Saccharomyces cerevisiae S288C: one gene and its partners. The gene in region 1 interacts genetically with each later gene. Each region holds a gene or a part of one and is shown in the gene's direction. Other genes may lie near its edges.

The links. Genes that interact genetically often act in the same process or in processes that back each other up.
Region 2: mutations in CBC2 (region 1) and HMT1 together harm fitness more than expected from each alone (negative genetic interaction), as found in Saccharomyces cerevisiae (4 studies listed by BioGRID).
Region 3: mutations in CBC2 (region 1) and MUD1 together harm fitness more than expected from each alone (negative genetic interaction), as found in Saccharomyces cerevisiae (4 studies listed by BioGRID, with this or other methods).

What each region holds. Positions count from the first base shown.
Region 1 is NC_001148.4:210,190-214,239, forward strand, and holds CBC2 (nuclear cap-binding protein subunit CBC2), read left to right. Parts: upstream 1-1,968; coding exon 1,969-2,595; downstream 2,596-4,050. Other genes in the region: CUP9 (Cup9p), read right to left, coding at 2,853-3,773.
Region 2 is NC_001134.8:303,739-308,386, reverse strand, and holds HMT1 (protein-arginine omega-N methyltransferase HMT1), read left to right. Parts: upstream 1-2,410; coding exon 2,411-3,457; downstream 3,458-4,648. Other genes in the region: pyridoxamine-phosphate oxidase PDX3, read left to right, coding at 1,432-2,118; EDS1 (Eds1p), read right to left, coding at 3,684-4,648. UniProt on the Saccharomyces cerevisiae protein: S-adenosyl-L-methionine-dependent protein-arginine N-methyltransferase that catalyzes both the mono- and asymmetric (type I) dimethylation of the guanidino nitrogens of arginine residues in a variety of RNA-binding proteins such as heterogeneous nuclear ribonucleoproteins (hnRNPs) and small nuclear ribonucleoproteins (snRNPs).
Region 3 is NC_001134.8:476,727-481,514, forward strand, and holds MUD1 (Mud1p), read left to right. Parts: upstream 1-2,611; coding exon 2,612-2,619; intron 2,620-2,708; coding exon 2,709-3,597; downstream 3,598-4,788. Other genes in the region: TEF2 (translation elongation factor EF-1 alpha), read left to right, coding at 945-2,321; CBP6 (Cbp6p), read right to left, coding at 3,709-4,197; GRS1 (glycine--tRNA ligase), read right to left, coding at 4,638-4,788. UniProt on the Saccharomyces cerevisiae protein: Involved in nuclear mRNA splicing. The principal role of the U1A is to help fold or maintain U1 RNA in an active configuration. It is the first snRNP to interact with pre-mRNA.

The sequences.
Region 1 (4,050 bases):
AACTCCGATACGGGGAGTCGAACCCCGGTCTCCACGGTGAAAGCGTGATGTGATAGCCGTTACACTATATCGGACAATAATTGGACAGAAAATTTTGTTAAAGTGTCAGCCTAATCGGCGTAATACGTATATATGTATATTATCTGCATATTATTACGATAATATACAACAAAACGGATTAAAACAATCGGTATATTTCAATTTGATATTTGGGATAAGGTAAAATAAAAACCGAAGATCAGTAAGCTCTTGTTACTTTTTTGTTGGAATAGAGGATCAAGAAGCATTTATTGCTAGTATCCAAATTATTAGTATATCATCATGTTTTCAAAAAAAAATGATGTAAAAATTGAGAAACAGTCACCAGTCATCATGAAAAGTGCACTGCAAGGATTAATAACGTAATAAAACAAGAACGACAGTACATAAACGAAAGAAGAGATAACTATATTATTGTATAGAATTATCGATTCTCTTTTAGAATTCTTTTATTCTCCAGGAAAACTACTTGTACATTCTGTTTAGCTAATATTGTAGCCTTTAACCACAATAAAATGCACTCCAAGTATAACCCAAAATTCATTGTTTTCAAATTTATATTAATGAGATATTGGTAACCTAAACATCAAAAATATTTTTACTCAAATTCTCTTTTCTGAAAACGCTGAAGGAAATGTGCAGGAAAAATGTTTGGCCATCAACTTTTATTCCTAGTACCACAACTAACGTCACATTCTATCGAGGCAAATGCTAATTGGCAACTAACACTATCTTAACGGTTTGATAATGTCAACACAAAATTCACCTATTATTACAAACGAATCTACCGGAAGTTGAAATGCCTGACAATAATCATACAATTGCATGAATAATTGCGAACAGATGGCAGCAAAGGATGAACTAATCATAATTATACATTGCCGCTGTAGGTTTCCTCCCATAAAAATCCAAATTTCCAAGAAAAAGTTCTTGTGTCTTCATACACTTAATATTGTTATCCTTCTTCAAGACCGGACTATATAAAGAAAAAATTTTGTAATGCTATTATATTTCAACTTCAAATTATTTTCTACTAGTAGACATAATGGAACTTCGCTCTCAGATAATCTATGGCGATAGATGGACAATTGACAATCTTCTGAAAGAATTTATATAATAAGATGTGACCATGACCTAAACCTGCTCACGCTCATGAAAGGATACAGGTAATTTGGCGAAACATTCCCAAGCTTCGCTGATAGACCTATCCCAGAAAGTGTCTGTTTAAAACTACAAGTATTTGCAGTTTTCGTTATCCAGTTTCGTTCAAGAGCATTAATGCACAAGCCACTTATATTATATAAATTTAAACTTTGGGAAAATATCATACACCTATTGTACCAGTAAATGTTGGAATAAAAATCAACTATCATCTACTAACTAGTATTTACGTTACTAGTATATTATCATATACGGTGTTAGAAGATGACACAAATGATGAGAAATAGTCATCTAAATTAGTGGAAGCTGAAACGCAAGGATTGATAATGTAATAGGATCAATGAATATTAACATATAAAATGATGATAATAATATTTATAGAATTGTGTAGAATTGCAGATTCCCTTTCATGGATTCCTAAATCCTTGAGGAGAACTTCTAGTATATCTATATACCTAATATTATAGCCTTAATCACAATGGAATCCCAACAATTACATCAAAATCCACATTGTCTACAGTAAAAGTATACCACTAATAGATTTGTAATTGGTGTATGAAGTAGTGTATGGTATAAACGTTAATAAGTGCTTATCAAAGTATTACCCGCTTTAACAGTTTTTGTGTTTTTTTCAAGAAAAATATTATATGTATGAATATAGAACATGAGTTTATATGGAGAAAGTGTCTCGACAGCTTTTAAAGTCCCGAAAGGACTAATATCGAATAAAAGTTGCATCCATTAATATACCAATAAATAAAGGGAAAGATGTCCCTGGAAGAATTTGACGAAGTTAAATATGATCATTCAACTAAACGCCTAGATACACCATCAAGGTACCTGCTGCGCAAGGCTAGAAGAAACCCTAACGGGCTACAAGAACTGCGTGAGTCGATGAAGTCATCCACAATTTATGTAGGAAATCTTTCCTTTTATACATCAGAAGAACAAATTTACGAATTATTCAGTAAATGTGGCACAATAAAAAGAATAATTATGGGTTTGGACCGTTTTAAGTTCACGCCATGTGGCTTCTGTTTTATTATATATAGTTGTCCAGATGAAGCATTGAATGCCTTAAAATATTTGTCCGATACAAAGTTAGACGAAAAGACAATTACCATTGATCTAGATCCTGGTTTTGAAGATGGAAGACAGTTTGGTCGTGGTAAGAGCGGTGGTCAAGTCAGCGATGAATTGAGGTTCGATTTTGATGCATCCAGAGGTGGCTTCGCCATTCCATTTGCAGAGCGTGTCGGCGTACCACATTCCAGATTTGATAACAGTAGCTCACAATCTAATACGAATAATTATATCCCTCCTCCTGATGCAATGGGTACTTTCAGACCAGGTTTCGATGAAGAAAGAGAAGATGATAACTACGTACCTCAGTAGAATCAATCAATTTATATCTGAGAAAGATTCTACACACAGATATATATATATATATATATATTATTGTATATATACATACCTACATTATTTTTAAAGGCTTGCATGATGCTGTTATGTAAAAAAAAAAAAAAAAAATCAGTGTAACATAATAGACGTAACACGTTCAATGACATGATAATACTATATATAGTAACGATAAAATGTAAATGGTAATAGATATAATTATATGAATATTTAAGTAATGCATTGATAAGTGATCAATTCATATCAGGGTTGGATAGCTTTTTCAATTCTTCCAGCCTATCAATTAGTTTTTTACGGCGTGTAACGGGGGCATGAGCAAATCTCTTGGATAATTCATAATCCGTGGAGCAGGTTGACGTAGCATCGTACATAGTATTATTTGTGGCAGATAATGTGTTATGATATGCTGAGACGTTTTGAACTCGTTCCACTGGGGTATTATTCGCGTTGTCATTAGGAATTGAGTTTACCAGGGTATAGTAATCACTAAATATTTTGCGTCTTCTCACATTTATGAACCAATTAGAAAGTTGAATCTTGGTTAGCCCAGTTTTGATTAACAACTCCCTCTTTTCTTGTTGAGTTGGGTAGGGGTTATTCAGGTGGTTCAGCAACCAAGTATTCAGTATCTGCACTGTTTCCTTTGGCAGGTTAGACCTCCTGCCCGAATTTTGCTTCCTCCTTGATTTAGATTCTACAAAATCCGAAAATGGCCTGTTGTATTGTGCCCCCGCATCCTTTTCCTTATTGATTATTTCATATATTGGGGCGGATTTGTAGCAGGGCTTTGCATCATCGGACGCCGATTTTGACTTCTTTGAACTGCCATATTGAGATTGTGTATCCATAGCACTGCTACTCGTCTTGGACGTTTCAACTGTAGAAGCAGTAGGAGTAGCAGTAGTACTAGTACCGCCAGAATTAATTGCGGGATACGCAATCGAATGATGCTGTGGAAGTAACACAGGCGCAGGATAGTTTTGTTCCTCGGTACTAGACCGAAGGTTCCCATGCGAGTATTCTATGTTCGAAAATGCCAACTCGGGCATACTCCGTTTTTCTATGGAGTTAAATAGAACTTGGATAGGGGGTAGACTGACTTGATTGTCAACATTCTTACTGTTCCTGTTTTGTATTTCGCAGTTATAATTCATCTTCGAATGTAACTATTCTCGAAGGTTGTTAGCATAAAAGTAGGGGCTCGGCAAGTAGCGATCAGTAGCACTGGATAGGCGTGGTATCGCTTGAAAACAAGGGTGGGAAGATCAACTAAAAAATTGTATTAGTATATATCTTGACCAATTTAACATAATCTTACCAATTAACAGAAACAGGAGGCATTAAGAGACAAGAAAACGCCGGGCGCGACGAAATCAGTCATAGAAAATTAATCATTAATATATACACGCTGTAAGAAAACAAAAGGACAAA
Region 2 (4,648 bases), on another chromosome or scaffold:
ATTTTACCTTTTTGTAGTGGGATTTATTCTTTTAAAGGCAAAAATCTACTGAAAAAACGGAAAAAACTAGAATAAACCATTTCTATATATACTCATGTTCCCTGACGTTCTTTTTCCTTTTTCTTTTTCCAGAGTTAACGATAAGATAGACATAAAGTGACAGCGCTTAGCACCGTCTGTTTGCAAATCTAACTTAAACTCCTTTTTTTCTGTCACCTTAAACAGTGTCAGAAAAAATACTAGGTATAAGAAAACGAGAAAAAAATAAACAGCGAACTCGTGCAAACTTTGCTAATAAACAATTAGCTGTAACATTTGTGTGTGGGTGTGGTGATGGTAGGCTTCCCATGGTAATTAAAAGGTTAGGTCGAGAAGAGGATCGGTACGAAGAAGGAATAACAGGAATAAGTTCAAAAACACTGCTTTAGCAACTAAATGCAATAGCAGTGTTTAAGAATTTACGGTTTGCATTTTCTAAACTCAGATTTTAGCCATCTATAAGTAGAAACACAATAAAAAACCACAAATTGCGCACACACAAGCATCTACACTGACACCAGCATACTCGAAATTCTTTGGAAAAGAAAAGAGCAGCAGGCTATCAACTGAAAGATCAATCCGAAATCCGACACTATCTCTTCACCATCGAGTGCCTACCAAATTTCTGAGGCCTGCATGATGGAAAACTCAAACGTAGAATGTACAAAAAACACGGACTGAAAAAAAAAAAAATACGATTAAGCAAACGCAACAGCCATTGACATTTTCATAGGGTACCTATCTTCCTCTCTAGTTTTATTCTCAAACCAGAAAAATCACACTAAAAGCTACAAAGAAGGTCTTTTAATTGAGAACCTTGAGATCTATATGTCACCATTGCTAAAGAGGAAGTTTTTTCGCGAGTTCGCGCGCTGAAAACTTTTCTCCCATTTCCTTTTTTTTTTATTTTTTTGGCGTTTAGATATAAAAGCTTTAGCAGGATTGCTCTTCCTTTTCACCACACATATAGTGATATAAAATTTATTTATAAACTAACACAAGTAAATATACAACACCCAGTATTTTTGGCTGCCCGTGTCTTTCTCTACCACGGGTAGTCTCTCTAAGCTGGCAGATAGATGTTTATTGAACCGCTTAAGTTCCGTTGTGAAGTTTTCGTCTTTCAGGCTGTATTTCATAACACTACTGTAGTTCACACATACACATGCGTAATGCCCCAATCTTGATAAACAGCACATACAAGTAACAGCAAGTCTGCTTAGCAGCCAGATAGAGCTCTTATAGATGCCACCAGAACCAGCGCCGGGTAAATTGTAAATACTAGAAGGGGCCGCAACTTATAAGAAAGAAGAAATGACTAATTTGCATGATTAGATATTTTAAAGATACTCTACCTAGACCAGTAGTACACTTCACGGATCTGCACTGAAAATGACTAAACAAGCTGAGGAGACCCAAAAGCCAATCATATTTGCTCCTGAGACGTATCAATATGATAAATTTACTTTGAATGAAAAACAACTTACTGACGACCCAATCGATCTTTTCACCAAATGGTTCAACGAAGCCAAGGAAGACCCAAGGGAAACGTTGCCAGAAGCAATTACTTTTTCATCCGCGGAACTACCTAGTGGGAGGGTGTCGTCCAGGATTCTTCTTTTTAAGGAGCTCGACCATAGAGGTTTTACTATTTATTCTAACTGGGGAACCTCTAGAAAGGCTCATGATATTGCTACCAACCCGAATGCGGCAATCGTATTCTTTTGGAAGGATCTGCAAAGGCAGGTGAGAGTTGAAGGTATCACAGAGCATGTTAACAGAGAAACTTCTGAAAGATACTTTAAGACGAGACCTCGTGGATCCAAGATCGGTGCATGGGCTTCCCGCCAATCGGATGTTATCAAGAACAGAGAAGAACTAGACGAGTTGACCCAAAAAAACACCGAACGTTTCAAGGATGCTGAAGACATCCCATGTCCAGATTATTGGGGTGGCTTGAGAATCGTTCCACTGGAAATTGAGTTCTGGCAAGGTAGACCCTCGAGATTGCATGATAGATTCGTTTACAGAAGAAAAACAGAAAACGATCCATGGAAAGTCGTTAGACTAGCCCCATGAGGGACTGTTAATGAAAAATTCAATGTAGGATCTATTTAACACCATATAATTCTCTCATTTTCTATTTTATACTGTATAATGAATCTTTTTATACCGCCTATAGGGTAATATGTCAGAATATACCGAGATGAAAAAAAAGAAAAAGGAATTCCGAAATTTGGAAATGGCGGGAAAATTTTTTCACAAAGGGAAATTATATGTTATAAAAATAGTTGAAGAGATGAGCTGCCTACTGCTCACCTTGCCGTTTCCAAAAAAGAGTTAGAACCGACAAATTCATCCAAAGAAAATAATGAGCAAGACAGCCGTGAAAGATTCTGCTACAGAAAAAACCAAGCTAAGTGAAAGCGAACAGCACTACTTCAATTCGTACGATCACTATGGTATTCACGAAGAGATGCTTCAAGATACTGTTCGTACCTTATCTTACAGAAACGCAATTATCCAAAATAAGGATCTTTTTAAGGACAAGATTGTTTTAGACGTCGGTTGCGGTACCGGTATTTTATCCATGTTTGCCGCTAAACACGGTGCGAAGCATGTTATCGGTGTTGATATGTCAAGCATTATTGAGATGGCGAAGGAATTGGTAGAGTTGAACGGATTCAGCGACAAGATCACCTTGCTAAGAGGCAAGTTGGAGGACGTTCATTTACCCTTTCCTAAAGTTGACATCATAATTTCTGAATGGATGGGTTACTTTCTACTATACGAGTCCATGATGGACACCGTTCTTTACGCTAGAGACCACTATTTGGTAGAAGGCGGTCTGATCTTTCCCGACAAGTGCTCCATTCATTTGGCCGGTTTGGAAGACTCTCAGTATAAAGACGAGAAGTTGAACTACTGGCAAGACGTTTACGGGTTTGATTATTCGCCATTTGTTCCGTTGGTCTTACACGAGCCCATCGTCGACACCGTGGAAAGAAACAATGTCAACACCACCTCAGACAAATTGATCGAATTTGATTTAAATACAGTAAAAATATCAGATCTAGCGTTTAAGAGTAACTTTAAATTGACGGCCAAGAGACAAGATATGATTAATGGTATAGTCACCTGGTTCGACATTGTTTTCCCTGCACCAAAGGGTAAGAGACCTGTTGAGTTCTCCACTGGTCCTCATGCTCCATACACTCACTGGAAGCAAACAATATTTTATTTCCCTGATGATCTAGATGCTGAAACTGGTGACACCATTGAAGGTGAATTGGTTTGCTCTCCAAACGAGAAGAATAACAGAGATCTAAATATCAAAATTTCTTACAAGTTCGAATCGAATGGCATCGACGGTAATTCAAGAAGCAGAAAAAACGAAGGTTCTTATTTAATGCATTAAGACTTTTGTTTGCTGGAGAAAGAAAAAAATTTGAAAAGCAAATAAACAAACTTGTTCATATTATTGACGCGAATATGTGTACTTTGTTACCCTTTTTTGTTGGTCGTGTACCAAAATTAGTTTAGATATATGACTTTGCATGTCCTTGTACTATAGTTTTTAAAAGAAAAAATCTACTTATCTATCCTTCATTAGGATGCTATTTTTCACCTTGTTATCATGAATATTAGTTAAAGAAGCAACAGCAACAACCCAATTCTGAATCATCCATCAATTTCCAACCTATGTCGGCAAACTTTTTCAATATCTTTTTGTTTTCTTCCTCCGATGGCGCAACGTTTGAGGCGTTACTAGCTGCACATTTTCCGGAATACATGCTCTTCATTACCGATTCGTAGCATCCGGTACTACTTGTAGCACTTACATAGTAACGCTTAGCACGGTCATGTGCATTCTTCCTAAAAGGTTCTAGGGTATTAAATAGTGCGGTTATTTGCACCAATTCGTTCAGCGCAGTTGACAACGTCATAATTCTGTCATTTATTCCCTTGGCCATATTTCCATTACGGATGTATAAACTTATTAATGTGGTAGGTATGGGTCCTATCAAACTAATGATATTATAGCATTCTTCCACCATTGGCAGCATGAAAATAGAAACAGTTCCCATCAAGTCTTTGGTTGTGCAACGTGTATTTTCTTCACTGGCAAGATTTGACGTAATACTTTGTGTTGGCGACATTAATTCTTCTTCACTGTCCTGAGCAAAATAGGCGTTCGGAAGGGGCTTTGAATCCAAATCAACAGAGTTTTCTGCGTTCATATTAGTAATTGAATCTAATATGCCTGATACCAGAGTGATCATTGAGCAGACTAGCTCTCCGATATTTTTCATTTCAGCATCCGAATTGCAGCAATTTTCTAGAATATGGTCATTTTTCTGTTCAATATTTAGTAATTTTCTGATTAAAATTTCCTTTTTCTTCAAAAGGGTCTCAAATTTGCCAGCTATATTATCATGTTCCCCTTTTTCAACAGCGAACTCTCCGTAATCCGTTTGATTTGTGAACAGCAAGTGGTGAGGTACATTTACTTGCAATGATTTTCTGTTAAGGACAAAATATGTTATAAATTCACCAAGTTTAAGGTTTCGTAGAATGTTATCCAAAGCTACGGGAGCTTTTTCGACGA
Region 3 (4,788 bases), on another chromosome or scaffold:
CATCGCCATTATGACGAGAAAAGTAAAACATGTAGAATAAGGTCCACCCAAACATGTCCGAGCAATGACGTTATATATCGTGTTCCCTGTTCAAAGCATGGCATATGTGCCATTAAAGGCGAATTTTTGTCCCTAGCAAAGGAGAGACAGCGAGCCACCATTAAGAAGTGACTTGAAAGCAAGCGAAAATAGCTACACATATATATCAATATATTGACCTATAAACCCAAAATGTGAAAGAAATTTGATAGGTCAAGATCAATGTAAACAATTACTTTGTTATGTAGAGTTTTTTTAGCTACCTATATTCCACCATAACATCAATCATGCGGTTGCTGGTGTATTTACCAATAATGTTTAATGTATATATATATATATATATATGGGGCCGTATACTTACATATAGTAGATGTCAAGCGTAGGCGCTTCCCCTGCCGGCTGTGAGGGCGCCATAACCAAGGTATCTATAGACCGCCAATCAGCAAACTACCTCCGTACATTCATGTTGCACCCACACATTTATACACCCAGACCGCGACAAATTACCCATAAGGTTGTTTGTGACGGCGTCGTACAAGAGAACGTGGGAACTTTTTAGGCTCACCAAAAAAGAAAGAAAAAATACGAGTTGCTGACAGAAGCCTCAAGAAAAAAAAAATTCTTCTTCGACTATGCTGGAGGCAGAGATGATCGAGCCGGTAGTTAACTATATATAGCTAAATTGGTTCCATCACCTTCTTTTCTGGTGTCGCTCCTTCTAGTGCTATTTCTGGCTTTTCCTATTTTTTTTTTTCCATTTTTCTTTCTCTCTTTCTAATATATAAATTCTCTTGCATTTTCTATTTTTCTCTCTATCTATTCTACTTGTTTATTCCCTTCAAGGTTTTTTTTTAAGGAGTACTTGTTTTTAGAATATACGGTCAACGAACTATAATTAACTAAACATGGGTAAAGAGAAGTCTCACATTAACGTTGTCGTTATCGGTCATGTCGATTCTGGTAAGTCTACCACTACCGGTCATTTGATTTACAAGTGTGGTGGTATTGACAAGAGAACCATCGAAAAGTTCGAAAAGGAAGCCGCTGAATTAGGTAAGGGTTCTTTCAAGTACGCTTGGGTTTTGGACAAGTTAAAGGCTGAAAGAGAAAGAGGTATCACTATCGATATTGCTTTGTGGAAGTTCGAAACTCCAAAGTACCAAGTTACCGTTATTGATGCTCCAGGTCACAGAGATTTCATCAAGAACATGATTACTGGTACTTCTCAAGCTGACTGTGCTATCTTGATTATTGCTGGTGGTGTCGGTGAATTCGAAGCCGGTATCTCTAAGGATGGTCAAACCAGAGAACACGCTTTGTTGGCTTTCACCTTGGGTGTTAGACAATTGATTGTTGCTGTCAACAAGATGGACTCCGTCAAATGGGACGAATCCAGATTCCAAGAAATTGTCAAGGAAACCTCCAACTTTATCAAGAAGGTTGGTTACAACCCAAAGACTGTTCCATTCGTCCCAATCTCTGGTTGGAACGGTGACAACATGATTGAAGCTACCACCAACGCTCCATGGTACAAGGGTTGGGAAAAGGAAACCAAGGCCGGTGTCGTCAAGGGTAAGACTTTGTTGGAAGCCATTGACGCCATTGAACAACCATCTAGACCAACTGACAAGCCATTGAGATTGCCATTGCAAGATGTTTACAAGATCGGTGGTATTGGTACTGTGCCAGTCGGTAGAGTTGAAACCGGTGTCATCAAGCCAGGTATGGTTGTTACTTTCGCCCCAGCTGGTGTTACCACTGAAGTCAAGTCCGTTGAAATGCATCACGAACAATTGGAACAAGGTGTTCCAGGTGACAACGTTGGTTTCAACGTCAAGAACGTTTCCGTTAAGGAAATCAGAAGAGGTAACGTCTGTGGTGACGCTAAGAACGATCCACCAAAGGGTTGCGCTTCTTTCAACGCTACCGTCATTGTTTTGAACCATCCAGGTCAAATCTCTGCTGGTTACTCTCCAGTTTTGGATTGTCACACTGCTCACATTGCTTGTAGATTCGACGAATTGTTGGAAAAGAACGACAGAAGATCTGGTAAGAAGTTGGAAGACCATCCAAAGTTCTTGAAGTCCGGTGACGCTGCTTTGGTCAAGTTCGTTCCATCTAAGCCAATGTGTGTTGAAGCTTTCAGTGAATACCCACCATTAGGTAGATTCGCTGTCAGAGACATGAGACAAACTGTCGCTGTCGGTGTTATCAAGTCTGTTGACAAGACTGAAAAGGCCGCTAAGGTTACCAAGGCTGCTCAAAAGGCTGCTAAGAAATAAGAGTAATAATTATTGCTTCCATATAATATTTTTATATACCTCTTATTTTTATGTATTAGTTAATTAAGTATTTTTATCTATCTGCTTATCATTTTCTTTTCATATAGGGGGGGTTGGTGTTTTCTTGCCCATCAGATTGATGTCCTCCAACTCGGCACTATTTTACAAAGGGTTTTTTTGTAAGAGAAGGAGAAGACAGATACTAAACCATACGTTACTCGAAACAAAAAAAAAAAAAATGGAAAAAGCTGCTATCAACAAAAGACGGCCTCATCAAACCTAAAGAAACCATGTCAGCGTATGTATATACCTTGTAATTTACGTTTCCTTAAATCTTCTTTCTACTAACGTTTTCATTATTCTATACTCTATGACCAATAAAAACAGACTGTACTTTCAAAATTTACCCAGTAGGCCAGCAAATAAAGAAAATTATACCAGATTACTTCTGAAACACATTAATCCCAACAACAAGTATGCCATTAATCCGTCGCTACCCCTTCCCCACAATAAATTACAAATATCATCACAACCGCTGATGTTACTAGATGATCAAATGGGCCTTCTTGAAGTTTCTATTTCAAGATCATCAAAGATGACTAACCAAGCATTTTTAACGTTTGTCACTCAAGAAGAAGCAGACCGGTTTCTAGAAAAATACACGACAACAGCATTAAAAGTTCAAGGTCGTAAAGTGAGAATGGGAAAGGCTCGAACAAATTCGTTATTGGGTCTTTCAATAGAAATGCAAAAAAAAAAAGGTAATGACGAAACGTACAACCTTGATATAAAGAAGGTGCTTAAAGCAAGGAAACTTAAACGCAAGTTACGTAGTGATGATATATGCGCCAAAAAGTTCAGGCTTAAAAGGCAAATAAGACGCCTGAAGCATAAGCTGAGATCAAGAAAGGTAGAGGAGGCTGAGATTGATAGGATTGTAAAAGAATTTGAAACCCGTAGATTGGAAAACATGAAGTCTCAGCAAGAAAATCTAAAACAATCGCAGAAACCTCTTAAGCGGGCTAAAGTGTCCAATACAATGGAAAATCCACCGAACAAAGTCCTTCTTATACAAAATTTGCCAAGCGGCACTACCGAGCAATTATTGTCGCAAATACTTGGCAATGAGGCTTTAGTTGAAATCAGATTAGTTAGCGTTCGTAACCTAGCTTTCGTGGAATACGAGACCGTTGCTGATGCTACGAAAATCAAGAATCAGTTAGGCTCCACTTACAAGCTACAAAACAATGACGTTACCATAGGATTTGCTAAGTAGAATTTCCTTTGCGGAAGTATACCTCGAGTAAAGAAATTCACAGATAAATTTGAATAACGTTCTCCATTATGAATAAATATGTATTTACAAGCTTAGAAAATAATGTGCTCTTTATTTACCAAATAATACAGTTCTCATTGCAGTAAATAAGCTTTCCTTTTTCTTACCGTCAACGGCATTTATTAACCGTTGATAATATTGGGGATTTCCTGCAGGTTTATAGAGCTTATCGCCAATATCGTAATAGTTTCTGAATTTATTATTCATTATAGTGCTCAAGGCACGAATTTGCTCGTTGATGCTTTCTTCCGTGAATTTCTCATCTACCATTTTATTTTGAATTTTGGTTAACATCTCCTTATTCAGTCCTAATGGACCGGAAGTTCTGTTAATTATACTTTTTATTTCATCTAATGAGGGTTTTTTCTCTTTTATAGATTTTCCTTTGTCATCTACATTTGGCAGACCCGCTACACGTCTAAATCTTGCTATTTGTACATCCCTGAATGAGACCAAGTGGTGTATACGATCCTTTGGATATTTTTCCAGTAAATTAACTAATTTTTTGGCAGAATCCCTGACGACCTGGGAAGAAGACATTTTGGCACTTGCTTGTGGAATACGGAGTTTAACTTGGTAAGCTGATAGAGAGAATGTTTCAATGAAGGCTACCTTTTTTTCTTATAATGTTGCTACCACAGGAAATCTTGATATACGTTAATGTTTTGGCCCCTACAAGGCCGGAAATATTTCGCTTTTTCTTGATATCAGAATTTTTCGCATGTCCGACCATGCGCAGAGCTGCTATGAAAGTACTTTAACTATTAGTGTGAGGAATGGCTAAATAAACAGCAGATGTGATTTCCGCACTTCTTTTATAAACTTCCAAAATAATCGTATTAGTGGACAGTACATAATCATATCTTGCAATACGTATCAATAGTAAACGAATTATTTATTCATACACACATGTATATACTTCTCGCTTCTTTTTTTAATTTACATGTTTGGCGATATATAGTTAAAATTAAGTCATTTATTTAGTCAGTTTCAGCTTCAGCTTCAGCTTGGGCAATAAAAGGAGTCAAATCCTTGGTACCTTCTTCCCAAGAAGCACCATTGTAAGTGATATCGCGGATAGCCTTGATGACATTTTCGACGGAACCTCTAACTTGCTTGGTGGAATCTCTT